Linked DNA regions of Saccharomyces cerevisiae S288C. The gene in region 3 interacts genetically with the main gene of each other region. Each region holds a gene or a part of one and is shown on either strand. Other genes may lie near its edges.

Region 1 (4,060 bases), on a different chromosome or scaffold from region 3:
TGTGCAATCGCATTTAGACAAGTTTTCTTTACCCTATGATGATCCTATTGGAGTTATTTTCCAACTATATGCTGCTAATGAAAATACGGAGAAGCTCTATAAGGAGGTTAGACAAAGAACCAACGCTTTAGATGTTCAGTTTTGCTGGTACTTGATTCAAACATTGAGATTTAATGGAACACGCGTTTTTTCGAAGGAAACTAGCGATGAGGCTACATTCGCATTTGCCGCTCAACTTGAATTTGCACAATTACATGGCCACTCTCTTTTTGTTTCTTGCTTTTTAAATGATGACAAGGCAGCAGAAGATACCATAAAAAGGCTTGTTATGCGTGAAATAACATTGTTAAGAGCCTCTACCAATGATCACATTTTAAATAGATTAAAGATCCCTTCGCAATTGATATTCAATGCTCAAGCTTTGAAAGATAGATATGAAGGCAATTACCTTTCTGAAGTACAAAATCTACTCCTGGGTTCGTCTTATGATTTGGCAGAAATGGCTATTGTTACGTCATTAGGACCAAGGCTGTTGTTATCAAACAATCCTGTACAGAATAATGAACTGAAAACTTTGAGGGAAATTCTTAACGAATTTCCAGACTCTGAGAGGGACAAATGGAGTGTAAGTATAAACGTATTTGAAGTATATCTAAAGCTTGTGTTGGATAATGTTGAAACGCAGGAGACTATCGATTCATTAATTAGTGGTATGAAGATATTTTATGATCAGTATAAGCACTGTCGTGAAGTGGCCGCATGTTGTAATGTTATGTCCCAAGAGATTGTATCAAAAATATTGGAGAAAAACAATCCTTCAATAGGCGATTCGAAGGCCAAATTGCTTGAGCTCCCCCTAGGGCAGCCAGAAAAGGCATACTTGAGGGGTGAGTTTGCCCAGGATTTAATGAAGTGTACATATAAGATATAAGTTTTTTTATTTTTATTTCTAAAAAAAAGAAAAATAGTAAAACATGGACTGAAGCTAACGCTTTTGGAGTAATTAGTAGCATTATATATGGTAAAAGTGTTCTTCAGTAGGTCTAAGATTTAAAGGTAATGATATTTATATTATAAAACGATTTGACCTCTAATGCACTTCCTTTTATTCTTTTTGATAAAATATACTATACATCCCCCACAGCATCTCGCAGAGCCTCCACAACGTTAAGTACAGCACTCGAAGCTGGGCTGTCAGGATAGTTATCCAGGAAACTTTCACCCATGTCACAACTCTTGCCAATCCTCGGATCTAACGGAACAGACCCCAAAAATTTGATGCCCAATTCCTTACAAAGTGCTTCACCTCCACCTGTGGTAGCCTTGAATATTTGGGACTCTCCTTTGCAATTTGGACATACAAATCCGCTCATATTTTCCACTAGTCCAAGAATATTGATACCAGCCTTCTTACAGAAATCTATCTCTTTCCGTACATCTAATAAAGCTACTTCCTGAGGTGTGGTGACCACAAGGGCACCATCTATGCCAGATTCTCTCATATACTTGTTTATTGAAATGTGCTCATCAGATGTTCCGGGCGGTGTGTCGATTACCAAGTAATCGAGTTTATCCCAATCAACATCCTTTAAAAATTTTTTTATCAATAAATTCTTTTTTGAACCCCTCCATATAATGGCGGAATCGTCTTCTGGAAGCATATATTGAATAGACATGGTGGCTAAATTATCAGTCACATAGACAGGTGTCCAACCGGAGTTCGATTCATGGACGGTTTCTTTAATGCAGCCTAACATATGTGGCAAAGAAGGTCCACATATATCTAAATCCATGGCACCTACTTGTAAATCTTCGTCAGCTGAAAGTGCCCAACTTAGCATTGCGGCAAATGTCGACTTGCCTACGCCACCTTTGCCTGATAAAACCAATATTTTATGTTCTATTCCTGACAAGTTATCTGTGATCAATGGAATATCTGGATCAGGGCCTTTCGGAAGACTTTCACATATTTCTTTATTGGCGCAGCCACCACAAGCATCGGACTTACCTGCCATGTCTGATTCTGGACCAGGACAGTGTTCTGGTTCCGGCTGATTAAGTTCATACTCTGCTGGTAGCACTTCGTCGTTTACATGTGGTAGTATCTCAGTCATTCTTGGATATCACTTATGTATACTGTTGTTCTCAAAAACAGAAAGACTTCACGTTTAGCCTAGCCTACGAGTTGTTGGACAAACATGTTATTTATTATTATATACAAAATATTTCTACGCATTACTAATTACACCATTAATGAATCCGAAAAAGTACCCGGAAGCGTATTTTGAAAAGCCATATTAAAGAATAATAAGATGAACGGCAGTTTTCGACGTGTCAATGCATAGAACTGAGAGAATTGTGCATTGGATGACTTATTTATGTAGGGTGCTATGTCCCAGCTGACGGAGTTCATTAGCTGTATCCCTGTGGTTAATGAAGAACAAAATGAAGAAGATGAGCGTGGCCTCTGTAAGATTCAGATTGAAGATGGCGCTATGTTGGAAACATTAGATGAGAACAGTCTTTCAGGGCTTAGAATAGAGAAAATGTTGGTAAGTGAAGGTACAGGAATTTTTTCCAAAAGCAGTTTTGGAATCAATGATTTGCGAATCTTTACGGGAGAAAATATCGATGAAGAGTCTAAGAAATATGTGTGGTATGAACTACTCAAAATGTTAACTGGTCACAAAGTGTACATTGCATCGTTAGACGAAAAAGTCGTATTCACAAAATGGACGTGCAGAATGCAAGATGATGAGGTATGGAAAGTAGTTATGGAGTTGGAGTCATCGGCGATCATAAGAAAAATCGCTGAACTTACCTTGCATCCAGTCAAAAAGGGAGAGATTGATTTATTTGAAATGGCAGATAAACTCTATAAAGATATCTGTTGTGTTAACGATTCTTACCGGAATATAAAGGAGAGCGATTCTAGCAATAGAAATCGAGTTGAACAGCTGGCTCGGGAAAGGGAGCTATTGGATAAGCTTTTAGAAACACGTGATGAAAGAACCAGAGCAATGATGGTAACCTTGTTGAATGAGAAGAAGAAGAAAATAAGAGAGCTTCATGAGATTCTGCGACAAAATAATATCAAATTGTCTGACGATGATGTTTTAGATTCTGCGCTTATTAATACGGAAGTGCAAAAGCCAATTTCTGAGTTAAACTCTCCAGGAAAAAGAATGAAACGAAGAAAGACGGTAGTAGAGCCTCAAAATTTACAAAAGAAGTTGAAAGACACAAGTCGGAGGAGAGCTAATAGAAAAATATCTAATCAATCCGTGATCAAAATGGAAGACGACGATTTTGATGACTTTCAATTTTTCGGACTTTCTAAAAGGCCAATTATTACTGCTAAAGATAAACTCAGTGAAAAGTACGATGATATTACCTCTTTTGGAGATGACACACAATCAATAAGTTTTGAATCTGATAGTAGCAGTGATGTTCAAAAACATTTAGTGTCTTTAGAAGACAATGGTATTCAAATATCAGCAGGAAGATCGGATGAAGATTACGGAGACATTTCTGGTTCTGAATCTGAGACTGATGCAAGTGCAGGGGAAAAGAAGAGCTCCAACCATAGTGAACAATCCGGTAATGATAGGGAACCTTGCTTGCAGACAGAATCGGAAACGGATATAGAAACATAGCCTATTTATGAATGAATGTAATATATGGCAAAGAGTATTATAGTATCGCATCATTTGAGAGAATACTTTATTTAAATGGCAAAAAATAGTTCTATGTGAGTGATCGAAAACTCAACTACTCAGATTGAAAAGAAAATAAATAAAACTAGGTGTTGTATGAACGTGAAAGAAATCGAGAGGGTTTAGAAGTAGTTTAGGGTCATTTTTCAGTACATTGGTTGGCCTGGCTTGAGTTGCAACCAGTGCCAAGCATCAGCGTTGGCCTCTCTCTTGTACATTGGTTGGCCTGGTCTCAAATTTAACCAGTGCCAAGCGTCGGCAACAGCCTCTCTTTTCGCCAAAGTGGTGTTTTGCTCTTTTTCAGCCGCCTCAGCAATAGTGGTGTTGATAAACAATAGCCCACT
Region 2 (3,933 bases), on a different chromosome or scaffold from region 3:
TCGCTGGAGTAGGCTTCTGGACCTTCTTTGACGGTGTGCCAGAAGGTACCTGTTTTGAGAAAAAAGATAACAAACTCGATTGCTTCATTTTCTTTTGAGAAGATGTGGAGCCATTTTCGAAGTGTGCAGTCTTAGAAGTTTTAGGGGTAGCTGGGGCCATTTTGGAGTTCAAATTGGCTTTGTCAAAATTAACTAGTTGCTCCAATTAAAAAATCTTATCTGTTAGCAAAGAAGGCTCCAAGGAAAAGCTCTTATTAGTTTCAACAGATGTAATTTCAAATATTTTCTCTATATGGCGATGACCTATACATGAATTTATGAAAAAGTGAGACGCGTATCAGCTACTGCTCACGCGTTTATTTTCTCCGGGCAATGGTTGTTCAAAAAGCCAAACTTAACCAGAAGCCATTCATTATGTCACACATATAAAAATGCTTGCATACCATTAGTTGGAAATGGAGACTTTTCTGTTTCAATTTACACTAAATACATCTATTTATTTAAGATTGGAGAGCATGCTGCAAAAAATCAGGGTCTTCCTCCAAGGATTCCTTGATAATGTCTAAACCGCCTTGAAACTCCCCATTTATATAAAGTTGAGGGAAAGTTGGCCATTCAGAAAACTTTTTCAAGTTTTGTCTAACAGATTCGTCTCTTAATATATCAAAGAAGCCAAATCTTACTTGATGTTCTCTCAAGATACCCACAAGTTGTCTCGAAAACCCGCATTTAGGTTCAGAGGGGCTCCCCTTCATAAATAACATTACCGGCGCGGCATTGACCAATTTAGTCAATCTAGCGTTTATTTGCTCCTCAGTTTCTTCTTCCTCTTCTTCGTCGTCATCGTCTTCATCATTATGACTCCCCTCATTTACGTTTGCATTTTCCATAGTATGAGTTTGTGATGATCCGGAATTGACTGAGTTCTTGCAGTCTTCTAATAAAGACACATACTCCTTTGGATCCGCGCCGGATAATTCTTTTAAGATTGTCCCTTTGTGAATTATGATAAAATATGGAACAGCTGAGATTTCAAAAAGTTCTGAAATTTCCGAGTTTTCGTCCGCATCAATGGATAAGAAAGAGACGTTGGAATTGGAAGGCTCATTACTAATGGCCTCAAAAACCTGCTTTAATGCTTTGCATGGTTCTGCCCAACTGGTATGGAAATAAAGCACGATTAACTTGTCGCCGGCCGCAGTGGTAGTTAGGTAAGTAAATTGCTCTTGATCGTTAATTTCAATAACAGGCATTTCCTGAAAAAGTTTTGCTGCTGTGTAATATCTTGCTTGGTGGCGTTTATAACAGTACGAGGTGTAGTTAAAAGAAAATGCAGATGGAACCTGAAAAGAACACATTTAGTCTTTGAAATATATTTTAATGACCTCTTAGTTTGGCATCTCATGACCCGGCACACATTCTCTGAAAAAAAAAAAAAGTAACTGATGGTTCAACAGAGAAGCCACAGTTAAAAAAGGTCCTACCCGGATTCGAACCGGGGTTGTCCGGATCAAAACCGAAAGTGATAACCACTACACTATAGGACCGTAACAACTGTGTATTGTTGTATTACGGGCTCGAGTAATACCGCAGTGTCTTGACAATCCTAATATAAACAGTCTTAGGGAAGTAACCAGTTGTCAAAACAGTTTATCAGATTAATTCACGGAATGTCACTTATCTTATATATTATATAAAATATGAATCATACTAAGTGGTGGAAGCGCGGAATCTCGGATCTAAACTAATTGTTCAAGCATTTATACGTTTGGGTAGTTCAGCTAGGGAAGGCCGTGTTTTATCTCATGTTGTTCGTTTTGTTATTGAGATATATGTGGGTAATTAGATAATTGTTGGGATTCCATTGTTGATAAAGGCTATAATATTAGGTATACAGAATATACTAGAAGTTCTCCTCGAGGATTTAGGAATCCATAAAAGGGAATCTGCAATTCTACACAATTCTATAAATATTATTATCATCGTTTTATATGTTAATATTCATTGATCCTATTACATTATCAATCCTTGCGTTTCAGCTTCCACTAATTTAGATGACTATTTCTCATCATTTGCGTCATCTTCTAACACCGTATATGATAATATACTAGTAACGTAAATACTAGTTAGTAGATGATAGTTGATTTTTATTCCAACATACCACCCATAATGTAATAGATCTAATGAATCCATTTGTTTGTTAATAGTTTAAATGTTTTTATCGGAAGAGGTTTTGTCATCACATCAGCAATGTTCTTCTTGGTCTCGATGTAGTATACGTATAAATTATTACCTGATACTTCATCTCTAAGTCTCATTGCCTTTGTGCCAAAAAATCTGTTTCTAAATTTCTCTTCATTTGTAGACTTAATTATACTGATCGTTGATCTACTATCAGTAAGTGAGCCTTTAATAATTGGTTTCTTGTTAAGTTCTTGCACAAGGTGACTGAGGTTATTCAATAGCGGAATAGCTTCACTGACTGCGTGTATTTCTGCTTCTGTAGTTGAAGTGCATGTTAACGAAGCCTTTGTCGACTTTCCTCCAATCACTTTTCCGTTGAGTAGGAAAATGTTACCAATTTGTGACTTGTAATATGGTTGGTTACCATATGAAGCATCGCTTATTGCGACTAGTTTATTATCTGGCTTGGTAGGTTTGTTTTTGTGCCATATTAATTGTTTATCTCTAGTGTCCCACATGAATTGTATTAACTCATATGTCATGTCTAAAACTTGCCTAGAGGGGAATAGTATATGTTGAGCAAGTGTGTTGATGTAGTATAGTAAGTCAAATCTAAATTTATATCCAACATATGAAGCTAGACCAATCAACTTTTGCATTTCATGCACTTTCTCTTTGTATTCATCTTCATCTATTTCTAGTTCATCCTGGTCTATATAATGACCTGGTTGACCTGGAGCTCTAAGTTTCTTTCCTTTTGGGTTCAAAGGTACGTTTAGTTTGGGTAATTTTTCTGTCAAGGATTTTTCCATACCTAATTTCATGTACTTGCTTCTTTGATATTTGATCTCTAATCCAAGTATGTCGTACTGAATTTCGTTATCACCTTCACCCAGATTTATTATCTTTGTATCGTATTGTTTCTTGAGTGTTGTTATGATTTTCTTATTTGCATTTAAGTCTTTGCTGAACAATATCATATCATCAACGAATAAGCAAATTGTTACTTGACTATTCTTAAATACGCATGACCATCCACGAACTTCTTCCATACCACACTGTTTTATCAGGTATGATTTGATAGTTTCGTACCAGTTCGCTCCACTTTGTTTCAATCCATAAAGTGATTTCTTCAAACGTATCAACTTATCATTCATTCCTAAATGTGGTGGAGGTCTTATGTATAATTCTTCTTTGATGTCTGCATACAAATATGCCGAAGATATGTCTAATTGTGTAATATAGTAGTTATTGTCTAATGCAAGTGACAGGGATGTCATTAATGCATAGTGATGTACGGTATTGGATTGCATGCCTGAGTCGTAAGTGTCAGGATGCTGAATATCACCTCTTGCAACAAATCTAGCTTTATGAGTACCGTCACGTTTCCTGTTGAAGATAAACATTGAATTTATTACTCTTTTAGGGTCTATTTCTTTTCTGTCATAATATTTGTCAGTGTCCCAAGTATTCATTTTCAATAGTTGGTTGACTTCTTTGTGGTATGCTTCGATATATTTTTCCTTTTCTTTAATATCTTTATTATAGGTGATTGCCTCATCGTATCTTAAGGTTGTCCGTATTGGTTTGATTGATTTTACTGCTTTTACAGCTGCAATCAGGTGAATTCGTTTCTTCGATCTCGGAGGTTCTAAACTACGCATATTCTTAGTATTCCATGTGTCTCGTGATACCTTAATTTCAGTTTCATTATCTTCTAATGATCTTTTCTTACTGTTGATAGTAGTA
Region 3 (4,510 bases):
ATCTGATGAACAAGTGATGGAGTACTCAAGGGATATTCCAGATTTAACCACTAAGAAATTCGATGCCGTCTTGGTATTTAACGATCCTCATGATTGGGCTGCCGATATACAAATCATCTCAGATGCAATCAACAGCGAAAATGGGATGTTAAATACCTTGAGAAACGAAAAGAGTGGCAAACCTTCCATCCCCATTTACTTTTCGAACCAGGATTTACTGTGGGCCAATCCTTATAAATTGAATAGATTTGGACAAGGTGCCTTCCGCTTACTAGTTAGAAGGCTTTATCTCGAGTTAAATGGTGAACCCTTGCAAGATTATACTTTGGGTAAGCCTACAAAGTTGACTTATGATTTCGCTCATCATGTTCTCATTGATTGGGAAAAAAGACTAAGCGGGAAAATAGGCCAATCTGTGAAGCAAAAACTGCCACTCTTAGGCACGAAACCTTCAACTTCTCCATTCCATGCGGTTTTTATGGTAGGTGATAATCCTGCAAGTGACATCATTGGAGCTCAAAATTACGGTTGGAACAGTTGTTTGGTGAAGACAGGTGTGTATAACGAAGGTGATGACTTAAAGGAATGTAAGCCTACCTTGATCGTGAATGATGTATTTGATGCGGTTACTAAAACGTTAGAAAAGTACGCATGAAAGACTACTATGGAATATCTTTTCCTGCCTTTGAGCTGTACTGTTATGATAGATTTATTAATAGCTTAAACGCTTTTACAAAATATATGCAATATACATAACGGGTTAAATAATGGGTTGGGAAATTGGTAATCACGGTATAATGAGTACCTGTTTTCTTCTATTTAAAAAAATAAAAACTACCAACTCTTTTTGGTAAAATTAGTAACCTACCAAAGTCAATCGATCAATGCATCTAAAAAAATTCACCTTCACCAAAGTAGACCAATTGACGTCATTTACTGAAACGAATGTGCAGGGTTTACAAGTCATCTGAAATGCTGTCCAAATTGATAGGTTGACCAGGCTTGAAAGCAGGAAGACCCAAGTAGGGACAACCACTACATCTAAAGGCATCCCCTAGAGAACAAGAACCACAGCCGCCAACTTTCTTCCCATCGATAGTGAAATCAATCTCGGTCAACTCGTCTTCTGTAAATTTGACAACTTTATCTTGTTGAGATCTTATATCGTTTATTTCATTTTCTTCCTGTTCTTTCATACCACAGGTGCAATCTTTACAAGCCTTCTTCTTCTTAGTTTTGGATTTACCGCATGTAATCATAGTAATCATTGACTTACCAGAACCATCCTCGTCGATTAATTCTTCTTCTTCAATGGAATCATCGCTGGTATCCACTTGATCAAAATATTGGGCTTTGGAAGAGTCACTAGAGAAATCATCATCATCGCTATCCTCAATCAGGTCGTCTACGACTCGGTAGACTTTTGGTTCAGTGGTCATTTTGAAACTAGGTGGTTTGAAGCTGTCTGTTTCCTTAACTATAGGTTGCCTACTGTGATCTGCTTTTTTGAATGAGGGTAAATTAGAGGTTGAAGAACTAGCTTTTTTAAAAGTTGGTAGCTTACTACCACTCTGTAGCTTAGTATTGTTCGTTTTCTTTTTTTTCAGTGGTATAGAAACAGTTTGGTTTAGTTTAGAGGAATCCATTTTAATCCAGCAATAATCTGGTTCGTTAATTATTTCAAACCCATTGATTAATGCATCTACTTTATAAATATCACTTAAACCAATTAGTGAGCCGTTTGGTTTCAATGAGTCAGCTAAGACAGAAATTAACTTTTTCGGAAACTTAATATCAGTCTGGGCTTCTGGCGTCAAATAGTGTACTGTTTCATATTTTGCGTTTTCCAAAGTTATGGACCCATCATTTAGTTTATTGATTAAAAACTGGTCCACGAACTTGACTTTCTTTGATGCAGCTTGAGCCTTAGTGTTCTCTACTAGCTCTGGCGTTGTAGTCACCGCCGGATGTATTAAAAGTAAACCAGTTTTGTATTGTGACATCGATACCTTCACTTACAGTGTATATGCTTAGATCAAATGTGATGAAAGACTTCTGCTTAGAATACCTTTTTAATATGTCATGAAATTAAATGATTACTAATCATTTCTTTTTTTTATTTTTTTTTTCCAGAAGCTTTTGAATAGTATCGGACTTATTCCGGTACCGGGATATGTCAAAAAAAGAAAAATGAGAAACGAATAGATATTTACCCAGAAAGTAATGAATGTATTTAATGAATTACTGAATTATTAAAATTAGTAATAAATAGCGGTTTATATGAAGAGCTCTATGTACGCTAGTATGGCATTACATACCTACTGCAAGTAAAAAAGGAAAAAAATTTGTGACATTTTGTAAATATGCTGCGTGAATTTGCCTAATGAGTATTTTTCCAGAAATTACAAAACACAAATAAGTAGAATGTGTTTAGTGTATTTGTAATTCATAGACTATTTATTGATGCTTATCTATTATACCTGGGGTTTCTGCTTCGTCCTCGTCCTCGTCATCATCGTCGTCGTCGTCGTCGTCGTCGTCGTCGTCGTCGTCGTCATCGTCGTCATCGTCATCATCATCGTTGTTGTTTTCGTTCTTATCTTCTGTATCTTCTTCTTCGTCGTCGTCTTCTTCCTCATCCTCATCATCGTCCTCTTCCTCGTTATTTTTTGGGTACCCACCCAATTTCATAACGATTTTGTTAACAATCTCATTCCAGTCCATCATACCCCCGAGACCAATATCACCATTTATATCCATAACTTTCTCAGACGGCTTGAAAACAGTGACCCAGGACATTTCCTCCTTTATCGTTTGTAGTTGCTTCTTTGTCATCATAGAATTAAAAGTGCTACTCACCATAGAAGGTGCCAAAAGAATGGGATAACTCGGATTCCAAGCTCTAATGACACTTGTCAGAAGATTGTCGCACAGGCCCAAAGCAATTTTTGATAATGTGTTTGCAGTTAATGGAGCTACTACCAGTATATCCGCCCAGCGACGTAGTTCTATATGAAGTACAGGATCAGTTCGTTGTTTCCATGCGTCCCATTCATCTTGGTCGGTCCATAGTTGAATATGTGGGGGTAACTCGACTACTTGAGCCATGTTGCATTGTCCTGGTGTTGGTGTCACTGGAGTTGCCGGAGTGGATTCGTACTGCGACATTTTATTTAGTTTTTCTGAAGATTTGATAATTTTCTTGGTATATCTTTGTTCGAAAAACTGTGTTGCTGATTGAGTGAGGATAACTTGAATGCTTATTCTATCACGTCCATATATTTCTTCTAGTTTTTTAATCATTGGCTTGATCTTAAATACCGATAACGAACCTGTAGCGCCAAACAACACGTGCAATTTTCCATCATCTTGAGGTAGTCTGGGATCCAAATTCTTGGAGTTCTCTCTTTTGGGGATGATGGAAGGAATGACGGACTGCTTCACTGGCGTTTCTTCCGGGGTAGAACGCACATTAATTTGGCCTGAAACATTGTTAGCTTGATCTTGTGCATCTTCCTTTCGAAGTGTAATACTGGTGGGGGCTTTGGCGGTTACCTTATTATTTTCTCTACTTATTGGCGTTGAAGTGGCCATGATTTTGTCAGGCTTCATGGTATCAACTATTTTAAGAGCACTGTCTTTTTTCTTAGGATCATAATCTTTCATTTCGTTGACGAGTGGAGACCCAGATAATTGCGTTGTTCTTGAAGTGTTGGTGTGGTTCGGTATAACTGCATGATTGCCAGGAATGGAATTTGAGACAGGAGCAGGATTACTATTTGGAGACTTGGTCCTTTCTGAGTCGTTCTTCAGCTGAGTCAGACTATCCTGCTTTTGCTGTTGCTTTAGATCACTGAAAGTGACGGCGGGGACTCTCTTCAAACCAGGCTCCGGAGTATTACTTACTACTGCGCCGGAGGTGCCGGTGGCATTCATAATAGATTTCGTAGTCGTGGTAGTAGCATTCGACAAAGTAGGGCTTATTGATTGCCTCCCTGACACGGGGGAGTTGATTATTGAATCCTTCCCCTTCGCATCCTCATGGTCCAACAAAATCTCTTTCTGTCCACGCGAAAACCTTGGACACTCTATAGACTGGTTATGGTCAGCATCTTGCTTCCCGCTAGTAGAGGCGACGGCAGTCATTGCTGTTTGCTTCTAGATCTTTCTTCCCTATTAATTTTTTCCTAACTAATATTTCTTTATATTTTATCCCGGAATATAAAGTAGTATGACAGCAAAGAAGGCCAGGCTAAAAAAAGATCTCTCCAAATGTAACTGGACGGCGCTGATAAGTGGACAAGTACAAGTGAGGGATCGTGATCCAAGAGCACTCTGTGACTTCTTCTCCTCTAATATCACCTCCCCAGAAAAGCATCGATGCCATTTTTTGCAAGAGAAAAAGTTGCGTGCGTCACTGCCCACGAGCACATGGGGTGAGTTATATAACATAAGAATATTGCTTTGACTCATGTTAAAAGCAAAAGAAAAAATAATAATGATCATTAGA
Region 4 (3,903 bases), on a different chromosome or scaffold from region 3:
TGCCCTAAATATCTTCTATACTACAATTCATTTTAATTCAATATCATATTTAAGTTGAGGGCATTTAGATCTTAGAGATTCATCTAAAAATAGGAGGGGTGATGTATAGAAAATGTTCGAATATCATTCCTCTGCTTTTTTCTATATGATTATTTCCTATATGAGCTTTTACTTACTGATCTCATGATCTCAGTGCAAAAATTAGGGGACCGGCACGCCTGAAAGTTTTTTAGATAATTGAATGTTGCGGTGCATTACCTATGAAAAGATGAAGCGCACGTGAACCATATTATAATCAACAAACTTGAAGAATAAAACTTTTGAGCGCATGAAGCCATGATATATCTTATTTGTATCGACATGCTTTAAGTCCTCCGTAGCTTTAAAAAGTCTAAGGTCCAAAATCCCTCGATGGTGCTGATATCACCATTATTCATGTCCATCAGATCTTGTCACATATTTAAACGTGATACCGTTTTAATGAGTTGAAAACTAAATAATTAATATTTTGATATTAAGGCTGGGTCAATAGAATTTAATTCATTAAAATGCTCATCGTTGAAATGAAGCAACGCTTCGTAGTTGTAGTTTAACATGCCAAAATTTTCGTTTCTCTCTTTGCCTAAGTTCGTAGCAATATCTGTATCAGCAGTTGGTGCGTTGCTTTTGGTATCTTTGGAAACTTTAATGATCTCATCTCCATAAGGAGCGTCTGTTTCCATAAAATTTGGTGAAGATGTTGTTGATTCTGACAGGGCTATATCCATTTTGCTTTGTGACAAGGGCCTCGTTGGTGTTGAAGGAAGTATACAAGAAGAGGACGAAGGACCTGGTGTAGGTTCTGTCAAAAGTTCCATCAGGCCTTGGTTGTAATTTTGGATGAAATTGTCGTTGCAAAACATGTTCGTAAAATCAATTTCGTTTAAGTTCGTTAAAGAATCTTCTTTCTCTATCTTTACACAGGAATTCCGCGTTTTGAAATTGTCTAAAAATCCGGTATCATGTAGATCCGCATCCAACTTCGTTTTCAACCTTGGCCTAGGTTTCGAATTATCCATCTGTCTGGATTTTATTTTAGAAACGGAGTTTTTATTTGTTTTGAGCAAATTTTTTTTAGACGTCAAAGGGGGGTTTGATAGTGGGAGAAAAATGTTATTGAAAGCTTCAATTTCCTTGGTTAACCCACAGTCACAAGAAATAATTGGTGTGACGAGTGGTAAGTTTAGACTTGCTTTATATTCTAATTCATCAAATGTTTTGATGGCTTTTTCGTCGTTCTTCTGACGAAGATTTTCCTTAAACTTTTTATAGTCATCCGTTTTAGTAATCAAATCAAATCTCAGCTCATGTGAATGTATGTTATTCATAACAACCACGTTCCACTTCTGTAACCGCACAGAGTAGGCTGCTCTAATTCTAAATGGACATGCATGGGATCTTGAAGAGGAACCTTTGGATTTAGGGTTCAACCCTACTTTCGATCGTACTGACCTACACTTAAAAGTAACTTTGCTACTATCTGATCTTTCGATGACTATATCTATTCCTTGAGGATAGAATATTTTCTGTAGCCACGGTTTAATCTCGTGCCTGTCCTCAAAAGACGGAACTGGGTCTAAATGAATAAGTTTATTTTGGTCTTTAGACATCATAGATGCTAGATTATCGGGAGATGCTGTTAACTTCATTTTCCCTGTTTTAGACACTGATATTGGCACAGATATTATGCTCTTCATCGACTTTGCTTTCATTTCTTGGGGGTCGCTTTCTCTTGATTAATTTGCGCCAGAGTTTCTGGTCACTACAACAAATTTTTTGAATGAGTCGTGTTCACTATTATGTATAGGTCCATCAGTTTAATTTGCACAGTTTTTGCCTTAATCAAAAGAAAATCAATTCTGACTAAAAGAAAGCCACTTTACCGATCTCGGCCCACGAAACGATTTTTTTTTTTACGGTGCTTTTTTCTTTCTTTTTTTTGTTCTTTCTATTTTTTCCCTTTGCTTTTCGCACAATACCGCTTACCGTCAATCGAATAATGAATGGCTCTGGTATCGTTCAATAAAATGAGAAACGTGCTTCCAGTTCAAAACCAAACAGCTCAGACAGGTTAAAGTGAAGAAGTTGAGATATATACAAATTAATGTCACTGTTATTTTTTTTATTTACATTTCCTTAACCTTTATTTAAGAAGAATTGTTTGAATGTTATTGTCATCAGTAAGAATTGTCAGCACTGGGCTATTTACAGAGGGACAGTTACCAACAAAGAGATCTTTGACACTCCTTATACCGTATTTGGCCCTAATGTCTGAGTAGCCCACGAACAGCCACCGTTTGAAAGATATAGAGTACTTGTATACCGATAACGCTGTTCCGTAGAGATGTTGCTCGGTTATAAAAATATACTTCCCATTGTTTGCTATCTGACGTCCTGTTCCTGAAGCATGGACATGAAGTTCTTGTGTCTTGTAAAATATTGGATAAACCTCGCTGTCTGAGACGGGTGGAGAAGAATTTGAATTCTCTATGGGGTCTCTTGTTGGAATGGACAGATATCTCATGTTGGTTTCGAGTAAAATGTGATTCGTTTTAAGAAGATAGTCGATCTTTTGAACGTCTTCGTCTATTTTAAGCATAAAGTTTATTTCCTTGTTTAGCGTGGAAGCATCCGATCCTAATAGATTCTTGCAGTGGAAAATCATATCATTTCCTTTGTATAAAGTAAACTGAGGGAAATTTAAAACGGACTTGACATTTGTGGTCGTGCGTAGATCTACAGGCAAATCAATGTTGGTATGGAAACTTTGAAAACTTCCATTGCTTTGTTGGTGATCTAAAGAAGTTATTAGCAGCCCATCTTTCAAACTAAAAGAAACAACGAAATGTGGCAACAAACCTGCCCAGACATTTAATATAGATAGGTGGCTTTGATGAGAGGAAGTTGAAGGATCCTTCAAAAGCAAGTGATTGTTTACGTTTCCGTTCAAGTCGCAGTTTAGCTTTAACAACTTTCCATTCTGAAATCCAACTAAAATTTGAATGGTGTTTGAATTATAACCAAAATTGCAGTCCATACATATTATTGCGTCCGATAGCAGTAAATTCAACTGCCCGTAAAATTGCTGCTTAATAAAAATCAAATGTTGGCCGTTAAAGTCATACAGCAGTAATTTTTTGTCCTCTGCTTGATTAGAATAAAAAATCCAGTACTTGCTATTGAAATTTCTAAAACTTTTGAAACTTTGTAAATCGTGGGTAGTAAAATAGTTATTAATCCGTACAAATTCCAACCCACGGTTACTTCGAAAAACATCTTCAAGTTCCTTTTCTTCGTCACCATCATCGTCTTCTTCAGAATAGTTTCCAACATCTCCACCATCCTCTCCGACATTGCTAAAGGTAAGCTGGTCGATATGTTCCTTTATCGTATCTGGAAGCTGTGGGTAATCATTATTCACCGTGTAGTTGCCATACTTGCTCGCCCGTTCGTCAAATACGTTCTGATATCTCGTGTGGTAAAATTGCACCCCCTTCCCATCCTGGTATATTTGCATAGGTATACCCATGATTTCGTTATGATTATTTTCTTTCTTGAGGGTGTTTAGCAATACATTATTATCCTTGTGATTTCGCTTATACACATGTAGGATTTCCTCCTTATATATTACAAGTGTGTCACCATTTCCGGCCCACCAATAGCCGCCGACCTCCAAATTACCCCAAATAAAAAAAAAGAAAACTCCGGAAATGCGGGGTTGAGCTGCAATATAATAATAATATGGCAACTTTAGCCGCGCAATCGAAGATACAGTAAATATAGTAAAAACGTGTCTGCAAATGGCTACTTTCGATCCTTCTTCCCAAAAGGCAATATTGCAGAAGAAGAACTAGAAAATGATGG

The links.
Region 1: of DRE2 (region 3) and NBP35, extra expression of one rescues a mutant of the other (dosage rescue), as found in Saccharomyces cerevisiae (one study listed by BioGRID).
Region 2: mutations in DRE2 (region 3) and GRX3 impair growth when combined (synthetic growth defect), as found in Saccharomyces cerevisiae (one study listed by BioGRID).
Region 4: of DRE2 (region 3) and AFT2, changing one suppresses a phenotype caused by changing the other (phenotypic suppression), as found in Saccharomyces cerevisiae (one study listed by BioGRID).

What each region holds. Positions count from the first base shown.
Region 1 is NC_001139.9:340,929-344,988, forward strand, and holds NBP35 (Fe-S cluster-binding ATPase), read right to left. Parts: upstream 2,115-4,060; coding exon 1,128-2,114; downstream 1-1,127. Other genes in the region: nucleocytoplasmic transporter NUP145, read left to right, coding at 1-931; LIF1 (Lif1p), read left to right, coding at 2,391-3,656; MF(ALPHA)2 (Mf(Alpha)2p), read right to left, coding at 3,863-4,060. UniProt on the Saccharomyces cerevisiae protein: Component of the cytosolic iron-sulfur (Fe/S) protein assembly (CIA) machinery. Required for maturation of extramitochondrial Fe-S proteins.
Region 2 is NC_001136.10:643,678-647,610, forward strand, and holds GRX3 (monothiol glutaredoxin GRX3), read right to left. Parts: upstream 1,254-3,933; coding exon 501-1,253; downstream 1-500. Other genes in the region: mismatch repair ATPase MSH6, read right to left, coding at 1-160.
Region 3 is NC_001143.9:573,978-578,487, forward strand, and holds DRE2 (electron carrier DRE2), read right to left. Parts: upstream 2,004-4,510; coding exon 957-2,003; downstream 1-956. Other genes in the region: YKR070W (uncharacterized protein), read left to right, coding at 1-655; phosphopantothenoylcysteine decarboxylase complex subunit SIS2, read right to left, coding at 2,458-4,146; YKR073C (uncharacterized protein), read right to left, coding at 4,210-4,510. UniProt on the Saccharomyces cerevisiae protein: Component of the cytosolic iron-sulfur (Fe-S) protein assembly (CIA) machinery required for the maturation of extramitochondrial Fe-S proteins.
Region 4 is NC_001148.4:167,588-171,490, forward strand, and holds AFT2 (Aft2p), read right to left. Parts: upstream 1,752-3,903; coding exon 501-1,751; downstream 1-500. Other genes in the region: YIG1 (Yig1p), read right to left, coding at 2,183-3,568; CSM4 (Csm4p), read left to right, coding at 3,897-3,903. UniProt on the Saccharomyces cerevisiae protein: Transcription factor required for iron homeostasis and resistance to oxidative stress. With AFT1, activates the gene expression in response to low-iron conditions, also called iron regulon.